Schizosaccharomyces pombe: one gene and its partners. Changing the gene in region 2 together with the main gene of any one other region gives a genetic interaction. Each region holds a gene or a part of one and is shown on either strand. Other genes may lie near its edges. The genes, in order: pus1, trm8, trm82 and SPOM_SPAC12B10.01C.

Region 1 (4,192 bases), 1.2 Mb from region 2:
AGCAATGCGGTGTTTTGCTTCCTAATGGGCAAATGTGCGCCAGATCTCTCACATGTAAAACGCATTCAATGTCAAGCAAACGAGCCGTTCCGGGAAGATCTCAGCCATACGATGTTTTGCTTGCAGCTTGTCAAAAGAAAAACCAAGTAAAAATACAACGACAAATCCTCGAAACTGCAAAAGAATCCGAAGATAATCAGCATCAAGCGCCTGTTGATTCTGATGAAGAAGTCAGTTTCATTATGAATGTTCTCCAGAAATCTGGCAATCAGCCTTTGGAGCAAAAAGTTTTTTTACCCGTAAAACGTCGCCATTCGTATTTTCGTACTAGAGAGTTAATAGCTGCTGCATTTCGACATGGTGAGCAGGGTATGCAAGTTACTGGTACTATATTGGGACGAGTGATTCCTTTTAGTGCCCGCCAACCACTATAAAGAAATTCTTTTGATTTTGCTTCGGTTGATGATTTAAATTCTTTATGAGATTATAGTTTACATTTTGGTCTACTTGACCACGCATTTTCGACTTTTTAATTTTCTCCTCCGTTCATCTAGTTTCTATTTCATTAATTTTTTCATTTTTTATTTTGTATATTGCACCATACGGTCTTAACATTTGGAATAATCAAGTAGAAGTTAATAAACTATAAAAATACCAATAGAACCCAAAACCAATAATCAATTCTAAAAAAAAGAAAGAAACAAGTATTCTCCAAAAATATATGTACACGTTTGTAGTCTAATTTTTTAAAAGAAACAGCAAAGTTTATGGTATCAGTTTGTTGCAAATCCTCAGTCTCACAATCAATCCTTTAGCCCTCTAAATCATCCTTGTTTTCAGCCGAATCTTCTTCTTCATCGCTAGAAAGAACATCAGGCAATTTTGAGGAAACCTCTTGCGTCTTTTCAGTAATGCCTATATCTGATAAATAACTGAAATCTTCTTCATTATAACTGTCAATAAAAGACAAAAAACAATGAAATCTAAACCGGTTAGTTAATTTAAGAAAAAAATATACTTACACTTGTTTACGAGCTTCTTCGAGAAAAATTTTATCATAAATATGAGCATGCTTAAAAGCAGTAATTTTTTGCTCGTACTTTGTAAAGTCGATAGGATCACGATTATTCTCTGGAGCTTTATGTTCATTATAACCTTTAAAAAACGGTGACTCTAATAAAAGTCCAAAACCAGGTCCCTTGGGTATGTTAATTTTTGTTTTTTTAAAGGCATCTTGTATGCGCTCAACAGGACAACCCGTTCGTACAACTAAAATAGCAAGCGCAATCATCTTTCTAATTTGGTGCAACATAAAAGATTGACCATGAACTTTACATGAAATCCATTCTGTATCGCCAATCATGAATGGATCAGATGCCTAGAATGTTAGAAACAAGACTTGTCAAGAATACTATAAATACAAAGAAGATAATTCTTACTTACAGTAAAAGAACGGATCACGCGATTACTATTCTTCTGATGAAATGCTTGCCCCACAGTAAAATTGTGAAAGTTATGAACTCCAACATATTGGTTTAAAGTTTCTCGAATAACGGACAGCCTATCTGCGGAAATACGGTAATTTTTTAATTTAAGTACTTCAATGTGCTTAAGTGCACGTTCGAGACGATAACTGGGATCAATCTTGGAACCAGCAGATTCGTCTTCAACAGAGTCAGGCTTTAAAAACTCGTTTACAATAGCAGAGGAATCGGAATCCATATCTGGATTAGTTTTAGCGGAAACTCCTGCTTCAGAGCCCTTATTATTTTCCGAATTAGCAAGAGCAGCAGCTCCCCTTTTAGAATATGGATTTACGAAGCCTTCAGGATCCTGTTCATAAAGGCTCAAAATCTCTTTGGCTGCAATATCATAATCATCCCAAAATTCCTTTCCTTCTTCATAAAATAATGAACGACTGAGTTGATTTATATTTTCCTTGTTAATTGGCTCAGCAGGCATGGGAGAATTCTTCATAATGCAATTTCCAAGTATGGACGAAGGTTTCGGTGGAACAAAAGCATACGTTGGAACCATATATTCATATATACGAGATTCGCAATAAGTCCTTGGGTTAAAAGAATTAATAGTACGGATCACATCCCATAAGCGAATGGAAGGAGGGAGGTGTTCGTTCACTTTTTCAATTAACTTCTCATCTTCCATTATAAGTTTGAGACTGATAACATTTCCAGCGGCATGAACTCCTTTATCAGTTCTTGCGGCTCTTGCTAAAGCAACTTTCTTTGGGTCATCAGCGTTATAAGAAGAAACGGCACCAGCCTTCACAAAAGCATCAAAAAGATCTCCTTCGATTGTTTTACTAGGAGGATTCAATTGCATACCATGATATCCGCTACCACAATAACCTACAAGACAGGCGACCTTTCTTTTCGGCTTTTTTTCTCCAACTACCAAATTCTCTGGCCGACCTTCTCCATTGTATATAGAATTAGGTCGGTTCCTTTTCGCTTCTCGACGATCACCATTGTACCAAGTGCGTTTACCACCACGTCCCATGCTGTAGTTAATATTATTTGTTTTTGATGAAAACGCAATTTACGCTGCACAGGTAAAAATTCATTTAAACATAGTAGAGTATATTTTCTTAATAATGAAATGCAAGGAATCGTTATTCATTCAATAAGATAAGAGTATAATTACACGATGGTTCACTAAACAATTATAAAACAATATACTTCGCTTACCTTAAGTTAAAAGTTTTAAGAATTAAAAAGCTAAATATTGTATCGCATTTCGAGCAAAAACAGATTGATGAAGCATTCAAACCAAAAAAAAATAATCAGCCTGAAAAAGGAATGACTTAAGACTGACTATTAATTGTTGCTTATTCTCTGTCTCTGTGTTTTATCTTTTGTTACCAGTTGTCGAAGTAAAGGCCAAATTGAAACCCGTGACTAATCCTTCCAATAACTAAGAAAAGTATACCTATTATCAATTTTATATCAAAAATCTAGTCCTTTTCATCGTTCATAAACCTCATTTTTTATTTTTTTCTTCCACACGTTACGAACAAAACCGCAAATTGTCAGCAATACTACACTAAGCTATGATATATTACGTTGCGTTTCACTATATGTCACATGTTCTAATTATATATCGTACCATGTATGATACGATATTGATATTGATCTTAATTAAAATCTATTAATATGTATATTATCTGAATACTATAAATAGAGCTACTGCTGAACCTCGTTCCTCAGTTCAGTTATGAGCTATATTAGTGATAGGTAACATTATAACCCAGTTAATACAATACCTATACTCAGTTGCTACTTATACAACCTGTGTATTGTAATATAATAGATCACAAGGAAAACTCACCGCAGTTCTACGTATCTTTAAATCAGATACCAAACTGCGTAGCCGACACAAATGAACTATAACGAACTAATATTAGTTGCAACTTACGACGGCTTTACTTGAGCTCTTTAAATTTAACGTATTCGCAACAATCACAGTGCGTGTAAAACACCCACTAGAATGTTGACACCATTGTGCATTTTATTATTTTTCTCAAATATTGGAATTGGTGCTTAATAACTCATATTGGTATATCAATATATTAAATTATTTGACATTTAAGATACTAATGAAATAGTTATTTCATTCGTGTGCTTTAGCCGTTATCATCGGACGGTTTACATAAAATATCAGCGTTTTTATAATTACGCGTGCTTCTTTTTTCTTTTTGTCGTATTTAAAAAGCCAAGGAAATTGTTTTTGATAATCTGTTTTTTACATGGAAAACGATGAACAAATAGATGAGACAGAAGTATGACCAATATGGACTGGTAGACGCAGGTGTTTTGAAATTATTATGCTGACGATTGTTTAAAGAATTTTGCAATTGGAAAATATGCCATTTTATTTGTGATTGAAGTTTCTCCCAGTATGCTTGATCCTGTCGATGAATTTACTCCCAGCTCTTTGCAGATGGCACTTATTTGTGCGTACCAGCTGGCGGCTCAAAGAGTAATCACAAATCCCAGCGACATAATGGGTGTATTGCTCTATGGTACTGTAAGTTTAATGCTGCATTTAAATTCACCGACGTTTACTTCTGCCATTAAATGTCTCTAACCACAGCGCAGGAGTCCTCTACGGGCCGATTCGCAAATCAAATGATGCTTTTAGACATTGATCCTCCTGATGCTGAACGTATTAA
Region 2 (3,837 bases):
TTCTGTATACTCTTTCAACAAGTTTTTTTTTTTTCGTTTGTAAAACTATTTAGGCGTTATAAATTGTAAACAGTTTCAATGGCGCTTGTTCTCTTATCAAATAAATGACCTTCCCCAACCTTCTTGAAAATGTCAAGTGCCTTACAGTTTGCTTGGATTTCAATTTCTTAAGTAACTCAATTGTGGATAATGCTAACGACCGAAATTTCGATATTAGTGTAGCGCACCTTTTATCTACAATAGTAAATAGCAAATCTGCCTCACCAATAACACTCCCATTTCCTCCTTGGTTTATTTCACGTCGAATATAATCAGTTTTACAATTTCTCGTGATTAATTAAATATTTTTCTTATCCCTTTACCTTCATTTGTATTTACACTTATAAAATCTTACAAATCAGGTAATTTGGAAGCTTGGTATAACTTTACTTTTTGGTTTCCTCTAACTTTCCACATCTGCCAAACTAGGATTTTCAAAATTTTTAAAACTTGCGTAGATTTATTTCACATTCTTCTAATTCAAAACATGGCGATTCCTTTTCTTCACAAGGGAGGTTCTGATGACTCGACTCATCACCATACACACGATTACGACCATCATAACCATGATCATCATGGTCACGATCATCACAGCCATGATTCATCTTCCAACTCTTCCAGCGAAGCTGCCAGATTGCAGTTCATCCAAGAGCATGGCCATTCTCACGATGCTATGGAAACGCCTGGCAGCTACTTGAAGCGTGAACTTCCTCAGTTCAATCATAGAGACTTCTCTCGTCGTGCCTTTACCATTGGCGTCGGAGGACCGGTCGGTTCTGGTAAAACTGCACTTTTGCTTCAGCTTTGCAGGCTCTTGGGTGAAAAATATAGCATCGGAGTTGTTACCAACGACATATTTACTCGTGAAGATCAAGAATTTTTAATTCGTAACAAGGCACTTCCCGAAGAGAGAATTCGCGCAATCGAAACAGGCGGTTGTCCACACGCTGCTATTCGTGAAGACGTCTCCGGTAATTTGGTCGCATTGGAGGAGTTGCAATCCGAGTTCAACACAGAATTACTACTCGTGGAGTCAGGAGGTGATAACTTAGCTGCAAATTACTCTCGTGATCTCGCTGATTTCATTATCTATGTAATTGATGTATCTGGAGGCGACAAGATTCCACGTAAGGGTGGACCTGGTATCACGGAGTCAGATCTGTTGATTATCAACAAAACAGATCTAGCTAAGTTGGTCGGTGCTGATTTGTCGGTCATGGATCGTGATGCAAAAAAGATTCGTGAGAATGGACCCATTGTTTTTGCACAAGTCAAAAATCAAGTTGGGATGGATGAGATCACCGAACTTATTCTAGGCGCCGCTAAGAGTGCTGGTGCTCTCAAGTAATGACTAGATTTGCGTTATTGTACCTGTATTGTTTGAGGTTAGTTTAGTGTGCATGTAACAACGAAATGCTTACTGGTGAATTGGACGCATTTGAATGCATGTCTTTCTTCTACCTCAATTTGTTTTGCATATTTAGATAGAATATGAGCAAATTTTTATATATATTTACAATGTACTTCTAAATTATTAGGTAACATAACATTTCCCTTTTTCAAACCCAATTTGAATAATTAAAAAGCGAAGCGTGAACTTGCGCACTGAACAAGTTTAATTACTTTTTATGAAATGTTTAAAGTATAAATTTTACTAAGTCATTCAAATATCTCTTTTAGTTTTCTCGCTTAGATAAATTTTACACTGAGCTGATTTGAATACAAATTTTTTGGTCTCAGTCAAATTTTTACTACAGCACAGCTAGTTTACTAAACCTTTACCTTTTGGGGTTTTCGTGTGCTCAACTAAAGAGAGAAAATGTCTGCTACAGCCAAAAAATCTGCAGCACAATTGCAAAGGGAAGAAGAGGAGGCAAGGAAGAAGCTGAAACGTTTGTCCAAGCAAGGAGGTGTGGAGGGGCGATTGCCCATGGTATGTTCTCATACAAAATTATCTTGTGTATTGACTTTTAACTAATATTGTTTACAGAAACGTTTGTTTCGTCAAAGAGCGCATGCAAATGTCCTTTCGGATCATGAACTTGAGTAGTAAGTTTATATACAGTAGTTGTGTTTGGCTGAGAACTGTGACCGATAAACTCTTTTTACATATATTTTTTATATAATTTGGGATTACCTTCTATTTTATTTTTAAAAATTTGGTTGTTGCTAACTCTCGCAGTCCAAGAAGTCCGTCTGAAATGGATTGGAGTCCTTATTATCCTGATTTTGATGTTGAATCTAACAAAAAGGTCGAGATCGTAGACATAGGATGCGGCTACGGGGGTCTTACTGTTGCACTTGGTCCCCAGTTTCCTGATACATTAGTTTTAGGCATGGAAATCCGGATGCAAGTTTCAGACTATTTGAAAGAAAAGATACAAGCATTGCGTTATCGTGCAGATCATGAAGAGCCGGTTCCAGGGGGATACAAAAACATTTCTGTTCTTCGTATGAATTGCCAAAAGTTCCTTCCAAATTTCTTCGAAAAAGGGCAACTCTCAAAAATGTTTTTCTGCTTTCCAGATCCTCACTTCAAGGCTCGTAAACATAAAAATAGAATTATCACAAGTACTTTGGCAAGTGAGTATGCTTATTTCATTCGACCCCATGGAACGCTTTATACCATTACAGACGTGGAAGAGCTACATGTTTGGATGGCTCAACATCTCGACGCGCATCCCTTGTTTCGACGATTCACAAAAGAAGAAGAAGAAAACGATATATGTGTTACATTGATGACAAACGAAACAGAGGAAGGGAAAAAGGTTGCACGTAATGGCGGAAAGAAATTTGTTGCATGTTATGAGCGCATTCCAAATCCAAAATAACTTAATAATTGGGCTGAATAATATAGGTTTAAAATAACTAAATTAACATTTATCGCTAACATCATTACACTTTCGCATTGACTTACTGTTTAACTACTCATTTACAAAATCCGTACCTATCCTCAAGCTGGCTCCGTAAATAAGAGAGCTCTTTGCAACTATCCTTTTAACTCCATGGCAATATATTATGAATGCTAAATAAAACAAGAAATCTAGTAAATTTGCAAAAGGAGTAATTTTACATGTTAAGTGCCGAATTTTTGGGATTTTGAAATAAAATCAATTTGTACGGTAATATGACCTACAGCTCTCTTAAGTATTTTCAAGATACTATATTATTACTTGCTACATAATACTTCAATAACCTAAATGATCGAAATTTCAATAATTTTTAATGACTATTTGACATTCTTTAACAGTATACTAGGGCAGGGTTGTGACTGTCCAAGGATTATATAAGTAGAAGCTCATAACAAGAGGTGGTTTGTCAATTACAAAACAGAATGTAAGTAATTTCAACTTGAGTTTTAAAACGCTGAAACAATGTTAAAAATATTACTATGATGAGCAATTTGTGTCGCCCCTATCCGAAATCTGTGACGATTGACCCGGAAGCCAAATCCGATCTCTGAATATTTCTATTGTTTCAAGTGCTTTTCCATGAAATCTTATTATTTGAATAATTTACTAACTTTTTTTTACAGATTCTTATAAGCTTGAGCAAAATAAAATTAAATTCTTCTTTTTGACTCTTTAACCGTGTGTGTGTACTTTCATTTTTTTTTTATAAATTGCATCTTTTTGTAACGATTTGTTTTTGAATTTTAATTTGAAAAATGTTCCTTGCTAGTGATGTTTTTCTTTTATATTCTATGCTAATCATGAAATCTAATGATTATACTTTTATTTATAAAGACTGAAGCAAGCAATTTAGTATTTCAAAAATAAACAAGCAAAGAGGTTGTCG
Region 3 (4,376 bases), 1.0 Mb from region 2:
CAAAGTTTAAACACTCTAATTTTTTGCTGAACGCTTGTATACAATTAAACTCTTTGAATCATTAAATTATTTTTGTACTCAGTTCACTAACTTTATTTTAGACTAAGGCTTTCCTTGCTGATCCCTCTGCTTTCGTAGTCGCCGCTGCTCCTGCTGCTGCTGCTGGTGGTGAAGCTGAGGCACCCGCTGCCGAGGCTGCTGCTGAAGAGGAAGAGGAATCCGATGAGGACATGGGTTTCGGTCTCTTCGACTAAGCTTTTTTTGTTAGATAGCACTAATGGATGTATCTCGTGTTCTTTAGGCCTTCTAAAAACAATTTGCCGTTGCAAGTATTATGTAAAGTATTGTCGTAGCATGTAAATGGAAGGAATTGAATAAACGATTAATTTTACTTCTTCAAATTGCTGACGTTGCACAACTGAATAGCAGTTGCACTTATGCAGTAGATACAAGTTGCGTTTATTCGCATAATTATTAATCGCTGACTGTATTTATACTTCAAAATTCTGGGTTTCTCCAAAGAAATTAAATGCTCTCCCTATTATACTTTAATGTCACAATCATTTTTATTCATATCTATTTTCCATATTTACTGATGCTCCCACTTTTCCCAATTATTTTTTTTGAGCCGGTCTCCCTAAAATGAGCTTTAATTATCTTTAGATTCAACGGATGGCGAAGATGTACCGGTTTCAACACTGCGAATGAATTTAGAGTGGTTCTTGCGTAATGTGTGAATTTGAGCGAGCGGGCAGAACGGCTTTTCGGTTGATATTAAACCATCAGATTCTATACGCTTTATTACATCGGGTTTCGTAAGAACAGCCGCATTCCCTTCATCAAATTTCACGCATTCAAAACATGCACCAAATGTAAAACTAGAGTCCAAAGAAATGAGAATTTGATCAGTATCCGTGTCAAGCAAAACAGCGTCAAGAACAGGCCCTGACAGCTTCAAAGCAGAATGAAACAACAGTCTCTTTTCAGGTGTCACCTTCGCGAAGATAAGACCCGCCATTCCTTCACACGCAAAAGCAACAAGCTGGCGCTTAAAAATAGGAAGAATAACTGAAACCACCATTGGTTGATTTAATGAGAGATAAGTGGAAAAGGCAGATCGTAGATCGAATGCATCCAAACATTTGAAATTCTCTAAATCCCATACGAAAACGTGATTATCTCCACCGCCAGATATTAGAGTACGATTGTCATATAAGGACATCCTAGATACAAAACTAGGAAAAGGCGTTAGTGTTATTTAAAAAAAAAAAAAAAAAATTGATCAACTAAAACCAAATGAAAACTTACTCTTCATGACCTAAGCAAAACCCTTCAATGACAAATGCATTGGGAAATCGGGAAATACGAATATGCTCGTCTTTATCTGAAGTAATGATTATTTCTTCTTTAGAATTTTGTGGATTTTGAGCAACTATTAATTGAGTTAAGATCGAAACATGCCCCATAATGGGTTCGAGTTTTTGCAATTTCGAATCCTTTAAAGTGTCATTATTAACAGGTTCTTGTTTTCCTTCAACCACATTTGACTTTTTTTCTTCGGTAACTTCAGAAGTAGTAAACCAATTTTCGTCTACACAATAGACATCACCAAACTTATCACCAAAAACAATTTCGTTTGAGCCCGCAAAGCACAAGTCAGCACATCGCTTTGGTATGTTTTTTTGATAAAGAAGTTCAATTTTATCAGGCTGAGTGCTATCCCAAAGGCGCAAACATTTGTCTTCACTAACTGTTGCCATACGAGAATAGTCTTTAGAAAATGCGACTTGACGAATCGCTTCTCCATAGGCAGCTGCCTCTCTATGTTTTTCATTTATATTGTCTCTATAACAATGTTCAAAAATTTTTTCCCCTGTAGAGCATGAGAACCCCAATAGATATGGACCTGAACAGCACACGATGTAATTGTGTTTAGAATTCCATGTTAAAAATTGACAAGGGTGCTTAAAAACTCGCTGTTCACTCATGTTTTTATTGATTGATTCTTAAGAAAATAGAAGCAACAAAACAAACACTTCAGAAATAAACCTCTAATTTTTGGATCCGAATATATTTACAATTTTATAAAAAGAAGAAAAAGAAGCTTTAGAAGAAAGAAAGTAATAATGACAAATCTTTCAAATAATAAAAAGCAAAGCTTTAAAATTATTTACGCAGTAGAAATGAAGAAAAAGTATGATAAGGGTAAATAATAGACTGAATCCTCTTTCTGCTTAATACCGTTTCCTTACAAATTTATCTAAATAGAGAAATAAAAGAAGTATACACTCAGTTCGAAGCCAAGTATCTCACTTAAGTTAAATAGTTAAAGCGCCCAAAATTTTAGTACGTGGGTGAACTTGGAAAGTACAAACTAGTTGGAAATTTCCTAATAAGAGGATTTCAGCAATATTAGGGTTCCTGGATACTTCTTTTAATACGATTGAATTTATTTTTTTAATATTTCTAATAGTAACAAAAGACTTTTCGTTTTTGAGCGAAAAAAAAAATTCTTAAAAAAACAAGTGATCTAAAGCATATTAAGTCTTAGGCTGTGTGACGCACAGAAAAGGGCGTAAATATGAGGCAAAAAAGGGCAAAGAATTACAGAAAGCTGATGCATACGTATCAGCTTTTATTTGGATTTCGTGAACCATATCAAGTACTCGGTATGTGGTACAGAAAATGATGCTTGTAAAGATGCATCCTTACCCAAGTTCTAATTTGCAAACAATAAGCATTTTCTTTTTGGTGATGTTATTAAACTAACATGATTTTTAGTGGATGCAGATTTCCTAAAAGATTTATCTCAACAAAAGATTGATATACAAGCTGCATTAGCTAGGACTGTTCAAGGAGCTATAAAACCTAGTAAGTTTTGTTTATAAGTGTTTTCTTTTACTGGAAAAAAGGGCGAACCCCCGGAATATGAAACAGAACGGAAAGTTTAATTATTCAACATAGTATCTTTTCATCCGGGTCTGGTTTATTATTTTCTTTCCTTATGTTCTCCTTGTAAATTATTATAACTAACGGATTTACTAACTGACTATAGTGATTACTCAATGTTGTATTCGGCAATTGTACAGTAAATCCGATGAATTGAAGCAAGAAATTCGTATCGCAAAGTCTTTTGAGCGAAGGAGGTGTGGTCATATTGATGAAGCACTCTCTCCTTCAGAATGTATTCAGAGTGTAGTCAACATTAATGGTCGGAACAAGCACCGCTATGTTGTTGCTACCCAAGACCCCGAGCTTAGGCAAGCTCTTCGTTCGGTCCCAGGTGTTCCACTTATATATATGAAAAGGTCAGTTGTGATACTAGAACCAGCTTCACGAGCTACGTTATTAGAAAAGCACAACAAAGAATCCGTTCAGATGGGCATGTCAAAAGAGGAAAAGTTGTTATTATCCGGAAAAAAGCGTTCAGCGAATGAACTGGCTATCGATGATCAAGATACCAAGGAAAGTACGGATTTAGCGGGAACAGAGGATTCTGCTCCAAAAGCCAATAAAAAACGCAAGGGTCCTAAAGGGCCTAACCCTTTAAGCATCAAAAAGAGATCATCAAAAAACCATACAACGGATGAACCTACTTTACCTGTAAACATAATAGGTGATGTTGGTGAAAGAAAAAAACATCGTCGGAAAAGAAAGTAGACTGCTTATTGTTGGAAATTAGCATATGTATATATTTAAAAATAAAATTTTTCGGGATAGGTTTGCCTACAAGTGTTGTCTACTAATATAACGCTATCATACATACAATGTTTCTGATTCAACCCTTCCTGTGTAAACAATACTTTCAACTAACGCTTGTGGCTAAAGAAACGAAGAAAAAAAATTGGGTATAGGCACAATGTAAATATTTACGATGTAATCATCACAAATGTAAAGTTGTAAACCATTTTTCATCTAGATTCAAAGTCGTTTAAAGCGAAAGAGAAAAGGAAGCAATTATCCAAGCGACCTAAAAAAGCAGTTTCAACCAAATTTAGCTTAAAGAGAAAATTGAAATTTTTATTCGACTAAATAAAAGGTTAGATTATCTTAAAAAGATTTCAATCGTTGATATATTAGGGGAGAAACTGTAAGCCCAGTTGTGAATGCTAACGTATTTCAGTAAAAAAAATATCGCAGTTTACTGGCCTAAATACATACTTTGCTAACAGTTTTCTATTAACCCAACAGGACCTTAAATCTCTGCATTCTTTGTATTGAAAAGATCATACTGTTCGTGGATTTGCGCGTTTATGTAACGTTAAACTCGAATAATTTGCATTTGGCGGTCATTTTCGTTCTTGCGATTGATACAGATTCTGAGCTTTAACTAGCGCTTATTTGTATTACAACACCAAAGGAGCATAAATTGTTTT
Region 4 (7,430 bases), on a different chromosome or scaffold from region 2:
AATCTCAATCATTTAATAAGAGGGTAGATTTGATCAAATTCTAGTTGTATGAAATTACAATTCGCAAAAATTGACTGAAACAACCAAGGGTTGGGTAAATCTATGGTGGTATAATGGCTTCATTCTTACCTACTCCACTTACGAACCTCCATCTTCTTAAATTTCACAGTAGAAGGTAATTGTAAAAGAAATATTGTGACAATAAATTTTAAAAAGATTAGCAAAAAAGAATATTTAATTACATAAAAATGTCGAATGTGCAACGTAAAAGAATTGATATTCGTCGTCCCACCCTTGCGGAGCTGTCGAGTATTCGATCGATTGCCATGAATGCGTTGAACGGTCAATCGAGAAATCTCTCTCAAAAAATCTTTTGGCACCCGTTGTATCTTGCGGTTTTTGGTTTGGTGTTTATGGGGATATATCGCTTAACAAACATGGTAGAAGGAAATACAAAATTACGAACTTTTGTTTTATTAATATTGGTTAGCGCTGTCTTTTTGACGTTGATTGAATTTCCCTGTAGAAATGTGTATGCAAAGATTAGCACTGAAGACAATCAACCTGACGGCTGCTTGGCTGAAGAGAATCTTAAACATTTTTATATGGCCCGCATTGACAAAGAACGAGTTATTGGTATTATAGGTATCTTGCCTGCAAATGCTCCTGGTGCATACCAAAACACACCAACTATTGTCCACTGGACTGTCATTCCTAAATTTTATCAGTATGCGTTTGATCTCCTAGATTCAGCACTTCGTGAGGCGAAGGAGATGGGTGCTGACGTGGTCTCAGCACGAGTTTATTCAACCGACCCAATGTTGAAGGCTTTTGAAAGAAAAGACTTTACTCCTGTAGTTGATGAAGCTTTCGATTATCTATCGTTTTTCGGATTGCGCCGTTTAGTGCTTCAAAAGAATTTGAGCGAACAACCTGGTTTTGAAAATAGAAGATAGATTATTTAACTTTCCGCAAATATTACCCTTTCGTGCATGTAATTGCGCAGCTACAACTTGTTTTTCGCTGTATGTTCATATTTTAAATCTTTTTGTTTTGTGTTTATTTTTTTCGTGAAATAGTTACGAAAGAATTTCACGACGTTCAAGTAAATTTCTACCTAGGGCAAAAACTAGACCCACCGTGTTGTTGAATAATTGTTAAAAGTTTTAGAAACTATTTCATTACGTCCGCTCCATGTTCAAGAGTTCGTACCCGCTAGACTGTACAAAACAATTTGAATGTAAACTTAATATTATATAACTGATGTATGTTAGTGAATACTAAGTGAGCATCTCATTTCACTATCGTCAATTATGCTTGTAAAAACACAATCGATCGACTACAAAAGTACGTTTAACGAGTGTGAATCAAAGCTGAATCAATAAATAAAATACAGCATCTTGCAAATAAAAAACAAATTTAAAAATATTTAATGACAGTAAAAGACAGAAAAAAACAATAGTACTTAGAGTAATAACGTATTACTATAACACATACTACGGCAACATAATGGTGCGCCCTTGTTGTCGACGCTTTTGCCATCTCCCTATGTCAACAGCACATTCCGCCTTAAACAAGAGATCATAGAAGGATCAAATTAAAACTGGGATTTTGTCTCCTTGGTTCAGAAATTACTTGATTGTTTTGTTGGATTGTAATTAACAATCACTCCAATCGCTCGCCGAAAGGCTTCCAAATTTTGTTTATTAAATTAGCCTTTCTGAGCGACATTTTGTTATTTCATGTCTGTTCAAGCGTATACGAATACTCCGAATTTACCGAATTTAATACATAGTGAATCTATAACCAACTCACCTGTGTTTATACCAAACCTACGAAGTAAGTCCGACAACAAACATAGATTAAACACTTCTGAAGAATTGCCATTTACAAAGAAACGCAGAGCAACTAAACATTTTTTAAAAATGGAGGTATCTGCCAAAATTTCTGAACCACCTTCTAGTAAAAGTGTGGAATTTGGAAGGCATTTAAATATGCGGCATGATTTTTCCGAATTGCTTGAACAACCACTTACAACGAGCAAAACTAGGGTCTTTAAATCCTTTAATGAAAAGCTCAAAGGTAAACCCCAGTTAGTGAAATCCGATAAAGGTGTGTTGCCTCTTAATAAGCAATCGGATATACTGAATTCTTATGAACGCGTTTTAAGCAATGCTTCGGTTGATTCTGCATTAGACAAAAAGGCGGAAGTTGATATCATTCCATTTGATAAATCAGTTATGGAACCAAAGAACATAACTTTTAATGACAAAAGTGGCTTAACCAAGTTTGGGAATTCAAACTCTTATGAAACTACGTATTCTGACTCCAGCAACTATCATACTTCTACTGATTCGTCCCAATATAATGACCAAGATGACCACGTCTATGATGATACTAATGATGGAACTGATGATGATATAAATAATAACGAGTACAAAGACGATGAATCCAGTAGTGGCAGTGAAAGTTATGAAAGAGATGAAGATGTTGATGAAGAGGAGGAAGAAGACGATGATGAAAACAATGATGAGGGAGACGATGAAGATGAAAATGAAAATGACGAGTTAAGAAGCGAAAACGGTTCACCTAATCCTTCAGCCGCTGTTATTAATGAACAAGAAAACATGAACATGAGTGGAATCGAAGAATACGATGAAACTAACTTGTTAAATGAACTGGGAAGAATCAGAAGAGGTAATCAGTTTCAAAGTTTAGCGTCTTCTATACTTTCTTCCGGTAATTTGGAGAACTCTGATGACGAAGATGTTTCTTTAGGTCCACAGACATACCGTTTCAATAGTTCCTTTCATCCTTTTCGTTCTGCATTTTCTGCTCCAGGTGTTCAATTTGGACGCTTGTTAGAAGGAATAAAGGATTTTAGTGATCCTACTGTTCAAATGCTTTCTCTTCAAGAACTTTCCGAAGCGTTTGCTATGAGTACTGAAGATATGCTTGTTGGATTGTTTTCAACCGATTCATACATTGCGGCTTTTTCCGAAATCTTATCTGGGCGAAATTATGATTTCGGAGAAGTCTCTATTCAACTTATGCTATCCTGTACTACCTGTGTATCTAATATGATGGAAGCTTTGCCTTTATGTATGGCTAAAATAGCATATAGTCCTATTGTTCGCATTCTGTGTGAAAGAATGTTTGATATGCAATACATTGATATTGCTGAACAAGCTTTAGGAGTTTTAGAACGGCTTTCTAAAGATTTTGGTATTTGTATTTTGGAACACAGAGGAATGTTAGCTGCTCTCCAATACTTTGATTTTTTTTATACTACAGTTCAACGGACAGCTATTTCTCTGGCTGCTAATTGCTGTAAGTTTTTGGATGAATCCAATGCTTCCGCAGCAGAAGAAATTATTCCATTGCTTTCTAATATTCTACAATCTTCTGATACCATAGTCGTTAGTAAGGCATATTCTTGCCTGGAGACAATTATTGAATCTTTGAAAACTTCACCAAACATAATTGAAACGATAATTTCCGAGGATTTGATCACCACTATTGTCAATGCTTTGACTAATTCTACCTCACAAAATAAGTCAATGCACTTACAAGTGCAGCTATTACATATAATATCATCTTTGTGTCAGTCATCTTCTGCTTTGATTTTACCTTTTCTTAACCATAATTTGCCGGATGTGATGTACGAAATGCTGTGTGGAATACCACCTTCTGATACATCCCATCAGGCTGATATGATTACAATGCAAAGTTTGTATTATTGTCCGATCGAGTTAATAGAAAACTTGTTAAGAGCTATAACTTCTTTGCTTCCTAAAAACACTAGTAACTTGTCTGATGAATTTAACACGAAACTATATCGATTAAACAGTATACTCTTAACTGTTGTAATGGACATTTATTTTATTGTGCCCCTTCATGATATCCGATCGTTAGCTGTGACTACGGCATTGAAAATGTTATGTTCAATTAGGGAAAATAATTTAGATGGCTTAGTTTGTTCTCTTCCTTTATCATCATTCATTGCTTCAATTTTAAATTCACGCAAATCTGACAATTTCTTGAAGCGAGATGCTTTAGAAATGTGTCTATTTTTGCTTGAAGCACTTCCTAATGTTTATTCTTCGTTATTTATACGAGAAGGCGTTGTACAGGAGGTTGGATTTTTAGTTCGCTCTACCAATGCAGACATGAAGAAAATAAAGTTAAGTATTTCCTTTTCACAAAACAAATCTGCTGCTCGTCATGAGGAGTTGAAGAATTTATCGACGTTAAAGAGCCTTGCCAAGGAGTTTCTCTCTAATTATAAGGAAGAAAATTTAGAAAACTCAACATTAGTTCAACTTAAACAATTGTCTAAACATTTATTAAGTGAGACCAAACAAGACGAATCTTTTTCAGAACTAGCCAAAATATTTCAAGAAGGATCTAATATTACTAGTCATGAATTACTTCATTCTGGATTAATTCATAATTTGCTTTTATCACTCAAAAAATTTGGAAGTTCATCTCTTCGAACATTTTTGTTAGCTATGAATACATGTGATGAACGCGAAGTTTTAGAATTTGGTAATGGTCCCTTAGTTTCACTTATCTTTTGTTTGCAAAATCTACTTTCAACTGTTGAGAATTTTCAACTTTCAACGTTACCCCCAGATACTGAGAATGCGGTAGATCATGTTTTTTCGCGGCAGTTTAAACTTCGTTTAATGGCTCTTCCGGGATCAAGAATTCGACCACCTTTCCGATCTCTTGTCGTTTCTATTAATGGGCTAGCTACTATTCGTACACTTGATAATTATCTTCACAGTCGCATTTCTGTGCGTAATGAAACTGGACGTCGTTTTTCAATCCTCCGCGAGGCCGGTTCTTTGAGGGAGTCAATGAGTGGATCATCTCGTAACTCTTCAGGAGACTATACTGACTCAATGTCTCAAGATGCTCCTAATCACACAACAGAGCCATCAGAGCGACGTGACTCCTCGACATCATCACATTTCGAGGAACATTTTGTATTCAGTTTGATGGGTAAAAAGGTACCCCGAAACAAAACAATATTCAGAATTTTATATGAGTATATACAGTTGTCTGACGATCATACTCTCGATGATTTTTGGAAAACTCCTGTCCCAATATTTTATGGTGAGCCTGATTGCATTCACAATGATATGAAAGGGGAGTTAAACTATGAGAATGAAACAGAGGGATTTTCTATAAATATTAGAGAAATATTGGATTTATTGAGTATTTTGTATTATGGGATTAGAGACGTTCATACCCTCTTTCCTGACAAACATTTCCGTGGCAACATTGAAAACATTCTTACAGATTTTAGCAACTGGAAGTTGAGTGCCAAATTGAATAGACAACTTGAAGAGCAACAACTTGTTGTTCACGGTTGTTTACCCTCCTGGTGTATATCACTAACCTCTGCATATCCATTCCTAGTACCGTTTGAAACTCGATATCTTTTATTGCAATCTACTGCTTTTGGTTTATCAAGATCCGTTTCTTTTCTTTTGTCCCGAAATCCTGAGCTATCAAAAAACGAAAGTTCCTCCATACTTCAATTTGTCAGCTTACATCGCCAGAAAATTCGTATTTCTCGGAAAAAAATATTTAATTACGCTTTGCATTTGCTTGCAACTTATGCGGCTTCTGAAAATATTCTTGAAATAGAATACGAAGATGAAGTTGGTTCAGGTCTTGGGCCCACTTTGGAGTTCTATACTTCAGTATCTAAAGAATTTACCTTAAATTCTCTCGATATTTGGCGGAATGATCAACCCAACTCTAAATTTGTGTACCAAGCGTCTGGACTTTTTCCTTCTCCTATTCCATTATTAGGGTCCAGTCCAGAAAATGAAAGAAAAATTTCGTTGTTCTTTGCTCTTGGACAGTTCGTTGCACGCTCGATTTATGATTCAAGGATAATAAGCATTCAGTTTAATCCACTTTTCTTTGCACGAAATATACCTTTAACCATTTCCTCTGTAGCGAAAGTTGACAAGGGCTTAGCTAACTCGTTACGATATTTAGAGAAATTAATACCGGGTAAAAACCCTACAAACGCCGAGACGGACATTAAGCTTGAAGACCTTCATCTCGATTTTACTCTACCGGGATTTCCGTCTATTGAACTCATACCTGATGGAGCTAGTACACCTGTGACAACATTCAATGTGAGTGATTATTTAAATTATGTCATTGACTATACTGTTGGAAAGGGTGTTCAACAACAATTAGAAGCATTTCAAAATGGGTTTTCCAGCGTTTTTCCTTATACTTCTTTGCAAGTTTTGACAGAACATGAATTGGTCACACTATTCGGTACTGTCGATGAGGATTGGAGTTACGCGACCTTGATGAAATCTATAGTAGCAGATCACGGTTACACCATGGAAAGTCCTACAATCCAGAGATTACTGACTTTGATGAGTCAAATGAATTTTCAAGAACAAAGAGACTTTTTGCAATTTATTACTGGAAGCCGAAAACTTCCTATTGGAGGATTTGCTGGCCTAAATCCCCCGTTAACTGTTGTTAGGCGCTTAAATGAACCTCCTTATGTACCTGATGATTATCTTCCAAGCGTGATGACTTGTGTGAATTATTTGAAACTACCTGAGTATTCTTCAAGTGAGGTTTTAGGAAGTCGACTTTCTAAGGCTATTTTAGAAGGACAGGGCAGTTTTCATTTATCCTAAGCATTGTTTAGAAAAAAAAAGTTATTGTATAGCACTTCAGTAGCGTTCTATGATTACTTCAAAATAGAGGCTATGTACAAATATAAAGCGAAAAAGAATTGGTAATTTATTATAGAATGGGTAACTTCGTACTCCCCTTACAATGTAAAGTAGCATAGCGAATGAAATTCATTAGAAACTTATGCATTGAGTAAGAATTTTATATTTAACTCATGAAAATAAATAACCACCTGCTTCCAGAAAGTGTTGGTGAACAAGATACAAATTTTTAAAGACAATGAAGACCCTGTAACATATAACAAAAGTCGCCAAATGCTAATAATTAACCAATGAGGAAAAATGTTAGACCAACGAATAGCAGTAGGGTAAAATGATTATTTAGCATTCTTTGAAACTTTTTGAATATTTTGAGAAACGGTATGAATAGTCGATCCTTTCCTATTAAGATTTCGCTTACGCTGATCTCCAAATTGATAACTGAGATTCTCCAGCTCGTTTTTTACATTTTCTGCTGAAAACTCTGAACGCCTTTGTTGTCCATTAATGTCTTTGCGTATTGGTTTAGCAGTAGACTGTTGTACATTATTCATCGGGCGATTTGAGCTAATTCGAGAAATTAAATCTAAGTATGAATACATAAAGTTACTTAAGAGAACTTGTTGAAACAATGGGCGATGCGCGTTTGACAACTTTATATGAGAGAGACGATAAATGGCACGTTCAGTACAAATTGGAAAACGACTC

What was found.
Region 1: mutations in trm8 (region 2) and pus1 together harm fitness more than expected from each alone (negative genetic interaction), as found in Schizosaccharomyces pombe (one large-scale study listed by BioGRID).
Region 3: mutations in trm8 (region 2) and trm82 together harm fitness less than expected from each alone (positive genetic interaction), as found in Schizosaccharomyces pombe (one large-scale study listed by BioGRID).
Region 4: mutations in trm8 (region 2) and SPOM_SPAC12B10.01C together harm fitness more than expected from each alone (negative genetic interaction), as found in Schizosaccharomyces pombe (one large-scale study listed by BioGRID).

Annotation. Positions count from the first base shown.
Region 1 is NC_003421.2:2,118,993-2,123,184, reverse strand, and holds pus1 (tRNA/U2 snRNA pseudouridine synthase Lsp1), read right to left. Parts: upstream 2,571-4,192; 5' UTR 2,521-2,570; coding exon 1,444-2,520; intron 1,379-1,443; coding exon 1,023-1,378; intron 984-1,022; coding exon 812-983; 3' UTR 555-811; downstream 1-554. Other genes in the region: SAGA complex deubiquitinating submodule subunit Sgf73, read left to right, coding at 1-434; Ku domain protein Pku70 , read left to right, coding at 3,767-3,799, 3,865-4,047, 4,119-4,192. UniProt on the Schizosaccharomyces pombe protein: Formation of pseudouridine at positions 27 and 28 in the anticodon stem and loop of transfer RNAs; at positions 34 and 36 of intron-containing precursor tRNA(Ile) and at position 35 in the intron-containing tRNA(Tyr).
Region 2 is NC_003421.2:950,226-954,062, reverse strand, and holds trm8 (tRNA (guanine-N7-)-methyltransferase catalytic subunit Trm8), read left to right. Parts: upstream 1-1,792; 5' UTR 1,793-1,858; coding exon 1,859-1,972; exon of another isoform or gene 1,973-2,029; coding exon 2,030-2,088; exon of another isoform or gene 2,089-2,221; coding exon 2,222-2,870; 3' UTR 2,871-3,337; downstream 3,338-3,837. Other genes in the region: ure7 (urease accessory protein UREG), read left to right, coding at 527-1,387. UniProt on the Schizosaccharomyces pombe protein: Catalyzes the formation of N(7)-methylguanine at position 46 (m7G46) in tRNA.
Region 3 is NC_003421.2:1,976,507-1,980,882, reverse strand, and holds trm82 (tRNA (guanine-N7-)-methyltransferase subunit Trm82), read right to left. Parts: upstream 2,363-4,376; 5' UTR 1,989-2,362; coding exon 1,309-1,988; intron 1,236-1,308; coding exon 650-1,235; 3' UTR 518-649; downstream 1-517. Other genes in the region: rpp0 (60S ribosomal protein uL10), read left to right, coding at 102-254; rRNA processing protein Utp23, read left to right, coding at 2,582-2,669, 2,782-2,871, 3,056-3,660.
Region 4 is NC_003424.3:4,569,754-4,577,183, reverse strand, and holds SPOM_SPAC12B10.01C (ubiquitin-protein ligase E3), read left to right. Parts: upstream 1-1,540; 5' UTR 1,541-1,742; coding exon 1,743-6,686; 3' UTR 6,687-6,879; downstream 6,880-7,430. Other genes in the region: acetylase Sdg1, read left to right, coding at 249-956; zds family phosphatase type A regulator Zds1, read right to left, coding at 7,061-7,430. UniProt on the Schizosaccharomyces pombe protein: E3 ubiquitin-protein ligase which accepts ubiquitin from an E2 ubiquitin-conjugating enzyme in the form of a thioester and then directly transfers the ubiquitin to targeted substrates.